Linked DNA regions of Caenorhabditis elegans. The protein of the gene in region 1 purifies or fractionates together with the protein of each later gene. This does not show direct contact. Each region holds a gene or a part of one and is shown in the gene's direction. Other genes may lie near its edges.

Region 1 (5,901 bases):
GAAGATTTTTGATACGCATTAATTCATTTTTTGAATTTTCAGGAAAGGTAGGAGTACTTTAGGATTACTGTCAACATATTCTTGTATCAGCAATCCGAAAATTGCTGGTAATAAGTTTTAGCACTTTTCAAGTGACCTTCCTGATTCATTGAAGTACCCTAAACGATCCTTGACTCGATTCGATTCAATGACCATTTGTGTCCACTCAACCATTTGTGTGTGTGTCCCAATCCCCCACATCGAAAAAAATCGTCGTTCTCATCCAAGGTGACACAACAACCGGTTTCCCATCTTCTCTCCGGGTTCTCGTCAAGAAAGACACGCATACACAAAAATGTGTTGGTATACATGCATTTTAGGCATGTTTTTTCACCTTTTTACAGTCATTTTTACAGGTTTTTTGTGTGTGTGTTTTCGAATTAGAATATTCATGGATTTTCGTACTGTTTCTAAATGCTTAATATCAAGGCAGAGTATTAGATTTTTTATTTGATATTTTGTTTGAAAGAAACGTCAAAAAGGTGAATAATTTCACTTTTGAAGTTCGGCAACATTACTTTCGGTCTCGAAAAAAGCATGCGCCTTTGAATATAGTCTATATTCCTTATTAAAAATTAAGTTTGAATAATCTAGGTTTTTTTTCATTCTTATGTATACTATCCATATAGTATGTACATTTGCCTGTCTGTCTGCCTGCTTACTGTTACCTAATGTCACAATACTTGTACATTTACATGCGATCGCAAAGTTTAAATAATTAGGTAGGCACGTAAGCAACATACATAAAAAGTTAAAATCTCAACCGACTCCGACCAAATCTTGGCTTGTTGTATTTTTGCATTAAGATTTAACGGTTTAGATTTAAAGATTTCAGATTTCTGGCTTTCATCATAAATTAAAATGAAAGAGTTTGCCGAACTAGGCCATTTTGGCTCAGCCATATCTGGGGTAGATTTACAGCGCGTTGCGTGTCGCGTCGCGGCTCGTTTTTAGTTGTAAAACTAAATGTATTTGTCCGTGTGGAGTAAACGACTTTTCCACGCGTTGTCCGGCAGGCGATTGCCAATGGAGCGCGAAAAATTCAATGAGGAAGGCCAGAACCCCGTGAGATTTTTCACTTTTTTCTTACAATTTGAAGTTGCATTTTTAATATTAAAATTTGAGTAAAACTATATAAAACACATGATTTTGCGAACGTTCATTGTTCTGATTTTTTTGTAAATTTATGCAAAACACCAATTCCCCACAGATTAACTGTCACGAACTACAATGTACGAAAATCAAAGCCGCAGGCTATTTCGAAAATCACGAACTTTTCTTTGTCAATGTTTTGATAAAAGATCAACACCAACCAGTTTCTCCTCCTCCGATTTCTAATTGTTAGTCGATTTTTAGTGATGATGACTCACTTCCTCATTTATTTGATCTTGTTTTTCGCGCTCCTATATATTTATTCAAAAATGTTTTTCTGCTTATAAACATTTTTGAATAAATATATAGGAGCGCGAAATATCTGCTCTGCGAGCATTTTCATTGAAACGTTCTTATTTTTCAAAACGTTAAATACATTTTTCTGACCGGAGAATTACTTTTTCCGATGTTTTTATTTTTTTCTGAAATTAACAATCAAATTGCAATAAATATTCAAGATTTTTTAGCTATAATAGAACATATGATTTTCAGGCATAATTACAAGTGTTTCAAAAATTTCTAATAGATATATCCGAGGGCAAATTAACTAGATTTGTGTGTTTTAAAATTGACTGGTTCCAAATTCAAACATTAAATTAGTTAAATTGATTTTTCTAGTTAAAAAAAATACCAGCGCGCCAAAATATATGGTGTATTGACCTCAAGCGCACAATTTTGCACATGTGTCAATTCTTATATTAAATACACCCAAAACAACCATTACCTAACCATTTTTTTTTCTAGGATGCGATCTTTGCTCCTTCTCCTCTTACCGCTCCTTTCGGTATCAATTCCACTTGGGAAACAGACCGGTTACGACGATGCAGAAGCCAGAAGACTTGTAAAACTGGCAGCAGCAGCGTATGGGGAACGACATGTTTCTTGTATTAACAAGTAGGTTTTTTACTCGGCCACTAGTGAATTTAGACATATTATAGCTTTTTATAAATTTAAATCATATATTCTTAACTGCGTCATCACCTCCATTTTGGCGGGAAATTACATTTTTCAATTTTTAAAAACTTAAGAAAAAATCGAAAAATTTCATAAACGTCTGGAACGTTTCTAAATTAATCCGAAATTTCTGGAAATTACTAGAAAAAATCCAAGAAGCTTTTGGAAAAATATAGGAACATTTTTGAGAATGCGGCATGTTATAGAACCTTTCAGAAATTTTGTTAAAAAGGTACGGTCCAGGGGTAAAAATTTCAATTTTTGTCGAGGTTACTTTTGAGACAGAGTTTAAAAATAAACTATAAAAGAAACGAAACAAAATAATTTCAGAGCCTTCGGGAACGGAGAAAATTTTCATATTGAAAATATCGAGCAAAAGAGTTGCGATCACTTGGATAGTACCTGTGCGTCGTTTACAGGTAGGTGCACTATTGCACATTTTTTATTAATACCTACGTTCCTGCCAATTTTTGAACTTTGACTAACCCTCCAGGCAGATAGGAATAACGTTTTTGCGAAAAACTTTCTTTGGGACTTTATCTAAATAATTTTTCCAGTCGTCTCCGAAAATGCACGACGAATTATTGTGGTGTTCCGAGGAACACGATCTAAGGTATGTGAATTTTGAAAAACTTACAACAGTTTTTTTAATTTTCAGTCTCAACTATTCCTAGAAGGATGGCAGTCCGTCGGAACCGGAATTGATTTCTTTGACATGGGAGAAGTCAATAGATATTTCCTAAATGCGCATTTGGTACTTTGGCCGGAAATTGAGAAAGTCATTACGAATCCAAGATGGGCGGTCAGTTTTTTTAAAAAATTATTTCGCATTTCAATTAGTTCTATTTAATTATGTGCTCTCGTATATTCGGAAATTCGGACAAATTTTCATGATTCGAAATTGCAAGTAGATATTTTGAAAACCGGCAATAGTCAATATTGTCGATTGCCGAATATTTCAAAAATCGTTAATTGCCAAAATCGCCGGTTTTCAGAATTTATTAAAGGTGGAGTAGCGCCAGTGGAGAAATCGTTAAAAACCACTCCTTTGGTCCCAAAATGACCTAATATCACAATAAAACGTTTCAAACAATTTTTGCAAATTTTTTATTTACTGTCAAAAAGTGACAATTACTCCGTTTTTGCCACTCATAATTTTGGAAGTCGACCAAAAAAAATTTTTTTTTCTACAATTTTTATACTGTTAATTTGTTTTAATTATTTGGATTAGAACATTGTAGGGGTCGGAACATGCGATGAAGCTTTGGATTTCCTCAAAAACTCATATTTTTCCGAATTTCGGCAATTTGCCAAAACTTCGACCAGAAATTATGAAAAATCTAAAATTTTTTGGAATATTTTATTATGATATTCGGTCATTTTGGATTATTGATTTTCTCTATTTTACAAAAAAAATTCCAGAACTTCGATATCACCTTCACCGGTCACTCCCTCGGTGGAGCTCTTGCTTCTCTCGCAGCCGCCCGTACCGCAAAACAAGGCTTCCGATCTGGCTCTCAAATTAAAGTCTACACCTTCGGCCAGCCACGTGTCGGAAATGTGCAATTCGCTCGCAACTTTGACGCGATTCTCCCGAACACTTATCGAGTGGTCTTCCGACGAGACATCGTTCCACATATGCCAGCGTGTCACAAGAATCAGACATTCATCTCGGAGCACGAAGGTGGAGCAAAGCCGTGTCACGCAGAGCACCAGGATTATTATCATCATGGAACGGAGATTTGGTATCCGGACGAGATGAGCGCTGGAGCACATTATGTCGAGTGCCTAGGGGCTCCGAAGAATGAAGATTTTGGATGCTCGGATAGAATCAAGTTTTTTGTTGATCAATCTGATACGTACACCTGGGATCATCGACATTATTTTGGAGTCAAGGTAAGGGAGAGTTATTTTTTAAAAGGTTTATTAGGTTTTTGTTTAGTACGAAACATTTTGAAATTAACGACAATTTTTGAAAAAAAGGAAAGCGTAAATTTAATACCGAAACAACCGAGTTTATGCTGTAATTAGGCATTTGGTAGGCATGCTAGCAGGTTTTATATAAGCGCGTACATAGGTAACCAGGCATTAGGTAGGCGTTAGGTAGGAACTTTAGCAAGCAGGCATCAGCTATCCACGAAGGTATGCAGGAATGATTTCGAAATTAAGAAGATATAAATGAGGTAGGCATGTAAGTAGGCAGACACATTATAGGCGCGTAGGCAACCAGACATGATGTAGGCACGTAGGCGTTCAACCTAGTGGTAAGATCTTATCACACGTTTTGACATTTTGCACTTTGTAAGAGTTCAACCTCTCCTCCTCTTGCAACCAGGCACACATATGTCCTGATCAGGTGTCAAAATAGATGTGACGTAGATAAAGTTAATGTTGCGACTTTTTTTTTGCCAGCTGTGTGTCATTTTTTGAGAATGTATGGAATTTTAGATTTTTTTAGCGAAAAATTACCTTAAAAATTTTAATTTACCTCACGATATCTTACTGTCGTAATAAATTAATTAAATTTTAAATTGAATTTTAAAAACTCACAACTTGGGCTTTGAAATAGTTTTTAAAATTTGTTTTTTTTTTTTTGGAAAACCGGAAACTCTATTAAAAAATTATTAATTGTTTTACGGAAAAATTTTATGTCTAAAAATTTTAGTCAAAGATTTTCAACAACTGTTTTTAAATGAGATTTTGAATTTTAATTCTTAGAAATGTGTAAGAAGCTTTAAGTTATTTTAAATAAAACCATCTTATCCTGAAAAAAGTTGTGCATCATTTCTGATTAATTTTCCAGGTACCACCATATGGAAAAACCGGATGCGATGATCTACTTCCCGAAGGAAAACCAACAGTTTTTGAAAATGTTGTGAAGCGGCTCAATTTGCTCACAAGAACCATTGGTTTGGATTAATTTCAATGCTTAGTATCCACCTTGCCAGCCCCATTACGAAAATCTCAATTTCCCCCAAATTCTGTTTATTTGACGACGTGTATATTGAAGTGCATATTGCATAAAAATTCGATGAGTTATTATTTACATAATTTTTATATAGACTTTCCAAAAAATAAGAGAAACTATAATTAAAAGAAAGTAGAAATTTGATAAATACTTGCTTCCTATCCGTCCTCAAATCAGTCTTCCTTCACATTTGGCCCACTGTCCTTTTCCTTGAAAACCCACGGACTCGACACCTTCTTTCCCATGAGCTCTGCAGCTTTGGCGGATTCCATATCTTTTCGGTGCTGTTGACGCGTCTCACTTTGATCTACACGGTGACCAGCGGCAAGTCTGAAAAATCAAAGCAACCTTGCAGAATCAAGTCAGAAAATGTTAAAAATTATGAGTTACATTATAAAACAAAGAAAACTTTACAAATCTCCGATCTCCGAATTTCGAAAATCTCTTCATAATCTTACCTCATCAAAGCTCTTGGCAATTCGTTTTCCAGTCGTCCATAGTTAGCCTCCACCATTTGATCCATCAACGCCTTTCCTTTGGTCTCAGGCTGGAAGAAGAAACCGACTAGAATGGTCAGAACTATCATTGCTTCAGGAATCACAAATGCTCCAACAGGCCAGGTGGAAGTGAGAAGTGGCTTTAGGATCAGGAATCCAATGATCGCTCCGATGTGCCTGAAATTATATTGTTTTCAGAGTATTGAAAAGTTTAGTAACTGACCTGAATGAGTGCAAAAATCCGAAAGCAACACATCTAATCACAGTCGGGTATCTTTGAGTGGTAATCTG
Region 2 (5,254 bases), on another chromosome or scaffold:
TTTTCAATTTTTTCAGGCAAAAATCCCGGTTTTTTAGCTTAAAAACTAGGTTTTTACTGAAAATTTCCAATTTTTCGGTAAAAATCAAAATCTTACTTTGAACAAACCCAATCTTCAGCTGCAAATAGTCCTTTCGATTTTTCCGCCTGCTCCTTGCCCAGCTCCTTGCCAATTTTGCTTTTCGCGCGCGGTTTCGCTGAAAATCGATAATTTTTGGGGTGAAAAATCGTCGAAAACCTCACGTTTTCCATATTCATCACATACAAGAAGTGATTCTTCGTTTACTTTGGCACATTTCGAGTCGACACACGCCCATTCACCGTCTTTCAGCGCTCGACGCTTTTGTTCTCGATCATCGTCGTATTTCGACGACATTTACTGACTGAAATCGGGTTTTTATTGCGTTTTTTTGAATAAAAAATAAAAAATCACTAGGAATTCGTGAAAAAAACACGAAAAACCGAGAGAACTTAAGCTTTTTGTGTCGATTTCCGTGTAAATTATCACATTTCAAAATGCGGCCGGGTCTCGCCACGATTTGCCCGCCGCTGTGTCACGGGGTACGGTGGATGGCGAGAACCACGTCACTGTGCGAGAAATCTAGATTCCAATCTTTTTCCGGCGATTTACGTGGATTTTTGCCGGTTTTCAGCGGATTTTTTCGTTTTTTCGTGGGTTTTTGAGGTTAAAAATTGATTTTTGAAGCTTTTAAAGCTATATTTCAGTCGAAAAAGCGGCAAAAATCGATAAAAAACAGGTAGAAAGAGTGAAAAGTGACGTGGCGTTGAATTAGGTCAATTTAAATCAATTTGTCGTTGAAAATTGGGTTTTACAGCTTTAAAGCCTAGATTTCTGTCAAAAAATCAATAAAAACCAGGCGAAATGAGAGAATTTTGTGAAAAATCAAGTTTCGCAACTTTTTCCGTAGTTTTCTGTGGATTTTTGCGATTTTTTTCCATTAGAAATTCGATTTTCTGTGTTTTTTGCAGAAAAAGTTACAGTTTTTGCTGAAAAATGCGATTTTTTCAGGCAAAAACGACAAAAAATCCCATTATCAGCAGAATTTTGGTGGTTTTCTCAGTATTTTTTTCTGAAAAATGCAATTTTTTCAGCCAAAACTGGCAAAAATTGCATTATTAGCAACAATTTGTGTGATTTTTCAGATTTCTAGCTGAAAAATGCAATTTTTTTCAGCTAAAACTAACAAAAATCGCATTTTTTGTGGATTTTTGCAACTTTTCGCGTTTTTTTTTCCATTAAAAATTAAGTTTTAAGGCAAAAAAAGCGAATTTTCGCGGGGTTTTACCACAAAAAAAAACCGAGGGAAAGGCGAATTTTGCATACAATTGTCCAAAAAATTGAATTTTTTCAATTTTTTTACAAGAACAGTCAGAAAATTTGCATTTTTAGTAAAAAATTTGGCATTTTTTACTGAAAAAATGGAAAAAATCGATTGAAAATGGGGATTTTTAGCCGAAAATTTGGAAATTTTCAGTAAAAATCTGATTTTTTTAGCTTAAAAACCGATATTTTTCGATTTTTAAGCTAAAAAATTGATTTTTTCAGTGAAAAATGGAAAAAATCGATTGAAAATGGGGATTTTTAGCCGAAAATTTGGAAATTTTCAGTAAAAATCTGATTTTTTAGCTTAAAAACCGATATTTTTCGATTTTTAAGCTAAAAAATTGATTTTTTCAGTGAAAAATGGAAAAAATCGATTGAAAATGGGGATTGTTAGCCGAAAATTTGGAAATTTTCAGTAAACACCTAATTTTTAGGTTAAAAGCCGGGATTTTCCGATTTTTACGCCAAAAAACGGAATTTTTGACTAAAAAATCGGGTTTTCAGCTGGATTTCGAAGAGTTTTAGGGTTAAAAATGGTCAAAAATTCAATTTTTCTGATGTTTTTGATTTTTCTGATGTTTTTGAGCATTTTTCATGCTTCAGAGTGATTTTCTTGTCATTTACAGCGTTTTTTGATGATTTTTATCCATTTTCTGACGTTTTTGGGCATTTTTCATGCTTAAAGGCGATTTTCGGGGGTTTTCCAGCGTATTTTGACGATTTTTATTCATTTTCTGGCGTTTTTCGATGATTTTCGATGATTTTTCACAGAAAAATGCGATTTAGCTGGAAAATTCAATTTTTTCACAAATTTTTTTTTAAAACGTGAACTTTCTCTACTTTTTTCTTTCTTTTCCCCACAAAAAACCCGAATTTCCAGCTCCTCCACAATGAGCTCCGGAGAGCAACCATGCTACACACTCATCCACGTGCCCAGTGACGCTGAGCTCCCATCAGAAGCTCAATTGAAGGAAAAATTCGAGAAAGGAGGCGATAAAGAGCGAATTGAGGCGCTCAAAAAGCTCATTTACATGATTTTAAACGGAGAAAAAACGTCGCAGAGCATGCTAATGTACGTCATCCGCTTCTGTCTTCCATCCAATGAGCACACCCTTAAAAAAGTGCTCTTGATCTTCTGGGAATGTGTTCCGAAGACGGATTCCAATGGAAAGCTGCTCCACGAGATGATTCTGGTGTGCGATGCCTACCGAAAAGACCTTCAACACCCGAATGAGTTCGTTCGCGGTTCGACCCTTCGGTTTTTGTGCAAACTCCGTGAGCCCGAGCTTCTCGAGCCGCTTATGCCGGCGATTAGAGCTTGTTTGGAGCATCGGCACTCGTATGTTCGTCGTAACGCTGTCTGCGCGATTTTCACTATTTATAGTGAGTTTTTTTGGGCTTATTTAGGCCTGAAATGGGCTTGAAAATGCGAAAAATGACTTTTTTCCAAGAATTTTCACCTTTTATTGCATATTTTACGTTATTTAGTTGATAAAAGGTACATTTATTGCAAAAAATCGCATTTTTAGCTGAAAATTGGCGAATTTTTCAGCCAAGAACGGCTAAAATCGCATTTTTAGCCGAAATTTGAGGGTTTCTTAAGATTTTTGATTTTTTGCTCCAAAATGCGATTTTCTAGGCTCATTTTCGGTGAAATTTGCGATTTTTTGCGAAAAAATCCCTTTATTAGCTGAAAATTGGCGAATTTTTCAGCCAAAAATGGCAAAAATCGCATTTTTAGCCGAAATTTGAAGGTTTCTTCAGTTTTTTTTGGTGAAAATTGCGATTTCTCATGTTTTTTGAGCTGAAAAATACGATTTTTTACAATTTTTATGCCAAAAAACACATTTTTAGCTGAAAATGCGATTTTGTCAGCCAAAAATGGCAAAAATCCCATTTTCAGCTAAAATTTGGGGTTTTTTTTTCAGTTTTTTTGCTGAAAAATACGATTTTTCATGATTTTTCAAGAAAAATCACATTTCCAACGAAATTCTGACTATTTTTCGCTGAAAAACGGCAAAAATGCCAATATTCAGCTGAAAAATGAGCATTTTGTCTGATTTTTGTTGCCAAAAATCGATTATTAAGCTGGAAGATGGAAAAAAAATTCGACTTTTTGATGTTTTAAGCTAAAAATACGTAAAATTTCGTTATTTTAAGCAGAAAAATCGAATTTTTCAGGGAAAAACCTGAAAAACTTGCAGATTTCCAGCTAAAAATGTCATATTTTCTGCAAAAAAACCAGGAAAAATCGTATTTTTCAGCTAAAAATGCGAGTTTGGTCTTGAAATGCACCTTAATTAACGAAAAATCAATGGAAATATGCAATAAAAGGTGAAAATTTGAGAAAAAACCAACTTCGGGACCGGAAAATTGACCAAAATTAATGATTTTAGCTAAAATTAGGTGATTTTTTCGCATTTTTTGATCATTTTTTCCCCGTTTAATCCAAAAATCCCGCTTTTTTTCCAGAAAACTTTGAATTCCTGATCCCAGACGCACCGGAGCTCGTCACAGAATACCTTGAACAGGAGCAAGATGCTTCGTGCAAGCGTAACGCTTTTATGATGCTCCTTCACGTAGATCAAGCTCGTGCTCTTGACTATTTATCGGGATGTATCGATCAAGTCGGATCTTTTGGAGATATATTGCAGCTCGTTATTGTTGAACTCATTTATAAGGTGCATTCTGTGGAAAATTGACTGAAAATATCGATTTTTTGAGAAAAAACCCGTAAAAATGGGGTTTTTTTCGTTGAAAATCGAAGAATTTTCATTAAAAACGGCGATTTTCAAGAAAATTGCGGTTTTTTAAGGAAAAATCTGACAAAACCCTGTAAAAATGGGGTTTTTTTTTTTGTTAAAAAACGGAGAATTTCCATTAAAAACGGCACTTTTTTTATGAAAATTAACTGAAAATGTGAATTTTAGAGTAAAAAAGCTATAAAAATGGCGTTTTTTCGTTGAAAAATGGAGAATTTACATTAAAAACGGCGATTTTCAAGAAAATTGATTGAAAATATCGATTTTTTGAGAAAAACTTGTTAAACAGGCTATTTTTGTTTTAAAAAAACGGAGAATTTTCATTTAAAACGTCGCTTTTTATGAAAATTGAATGAAAATATGAACTTTTAAGCAAAAATCTCAGAAAAATCGTGAAAATCTAGAAATTTCACTATAAAAATGTGTGAAAATCGATTTTTAATTTTAAAATTAACTAAAAATTGGTTTTTTCAACGAAAATACGATAAATTTATCGAAAAATATGATTTTCCTCCAATTTTAACCGAAAAAACTGAAAAAAAATGGCCGAAATCATCCAAAAACTCCAATTTTCTTTCAGGTTTGCCACAATAATCCAAACGAGGCTTCCCGATTCATCAGATGTGTCTACAATCTTCTTCAGTCATCATCACCAGCCGTTAGGTGAGGAAAATCTTGGAAAAATGACGGATTTTCCTGGAAAAAATGGACAAAAAATCGCCAACACCATAAAAATTGTGCGATTTTAGCGAAAAAACTGGAAAATTACGATTTTTAGACCCCAAAACCTTAAAAATTCAGCGATTTTCTCGAAAAATAGCCTGAAAAAATGAAAAATGTTGAGTTTTTTTTTTTCGAAAAAAATGCTCCAAAACCTGGAAATTGTGCAATTTTTTCGTTAATAAGCTGAAAAATAATTAAATCTTTATTTTTTCTTGAAAAACCTATCAAAATTCTCAAAAAAATCGAGTTTTAGACGCCAAAAGCCCCAAAACCGTGAAAATTTCGCGTTTTTCTGAAAAAAAAAAAGATAAAAAGTTAGAAAATTACCGTCTTTAGACCCCGAAATCTTGAAAATTCCGCGATTTTTGTCAAAAAAAAATAGGCGAAAAATCAGATAATTGCAGTTTTGAGACCTCCAAAACCTC

Evidence for each region.
Region 2: the proteins of T08B1.4 (region 1) and copb-1 fractionate together in Caenorhabditis elegans (co-fractionation; one large-scale study listed by BioGRID). This does not show direct contact.

What each region holds. Positions count from the first base shown.
Region 1 is NC_003283.11:1,977,502-1,983,402, forward strand, and holds T08B1.4 (Fungal lipase-type domain-containing protein), read left to right. Parts: upstream 1-1,766; 5' UTR 1,767-1,936; coding exon 1,937-2,085; intron 2,086-2,474; exon of another isoform or gene 2,475-2,475; coding exon 2,476-2,564; intron 2,565-2,702; coding exon 2,703-2,758; intron 2,759-2,803; coding exon 2,804-2,947; exon of another isoform or gene 2,948-3,567; coding exon 3,568-4,041; intron 4,042-4,948; coding exon 4,949-5,065; 3' UTR 5,066-5,240; downstream 5,241-5,901. Other genes in the region: T08B1.1 (Major facilitator superfamily (MFS) profile domain-containing protein), read right to left, coding at 5,287-5,443, 5,572-5,787, 5,834-5,901.
Region 2 is NC_003280.10:3,076,572-3,081,825, forward strand, and holds the start of copb-1 (Coatomer subunit beta), read left to right. Parts: upstream 1-2,224; 5' UTR 2,225-2,234; coding exon 2,235-2,727; intron 2,728-3,816; coding exon 3,817-4,025; intron 4,026-4,686; coding exon 4,687-4,769; intron 4,770-5,254. Other genes in the region: Y25C1A.8 (Zinc finger Ran-binding domain-containing protein 2), read right to left, coding at 97-196, 243-375.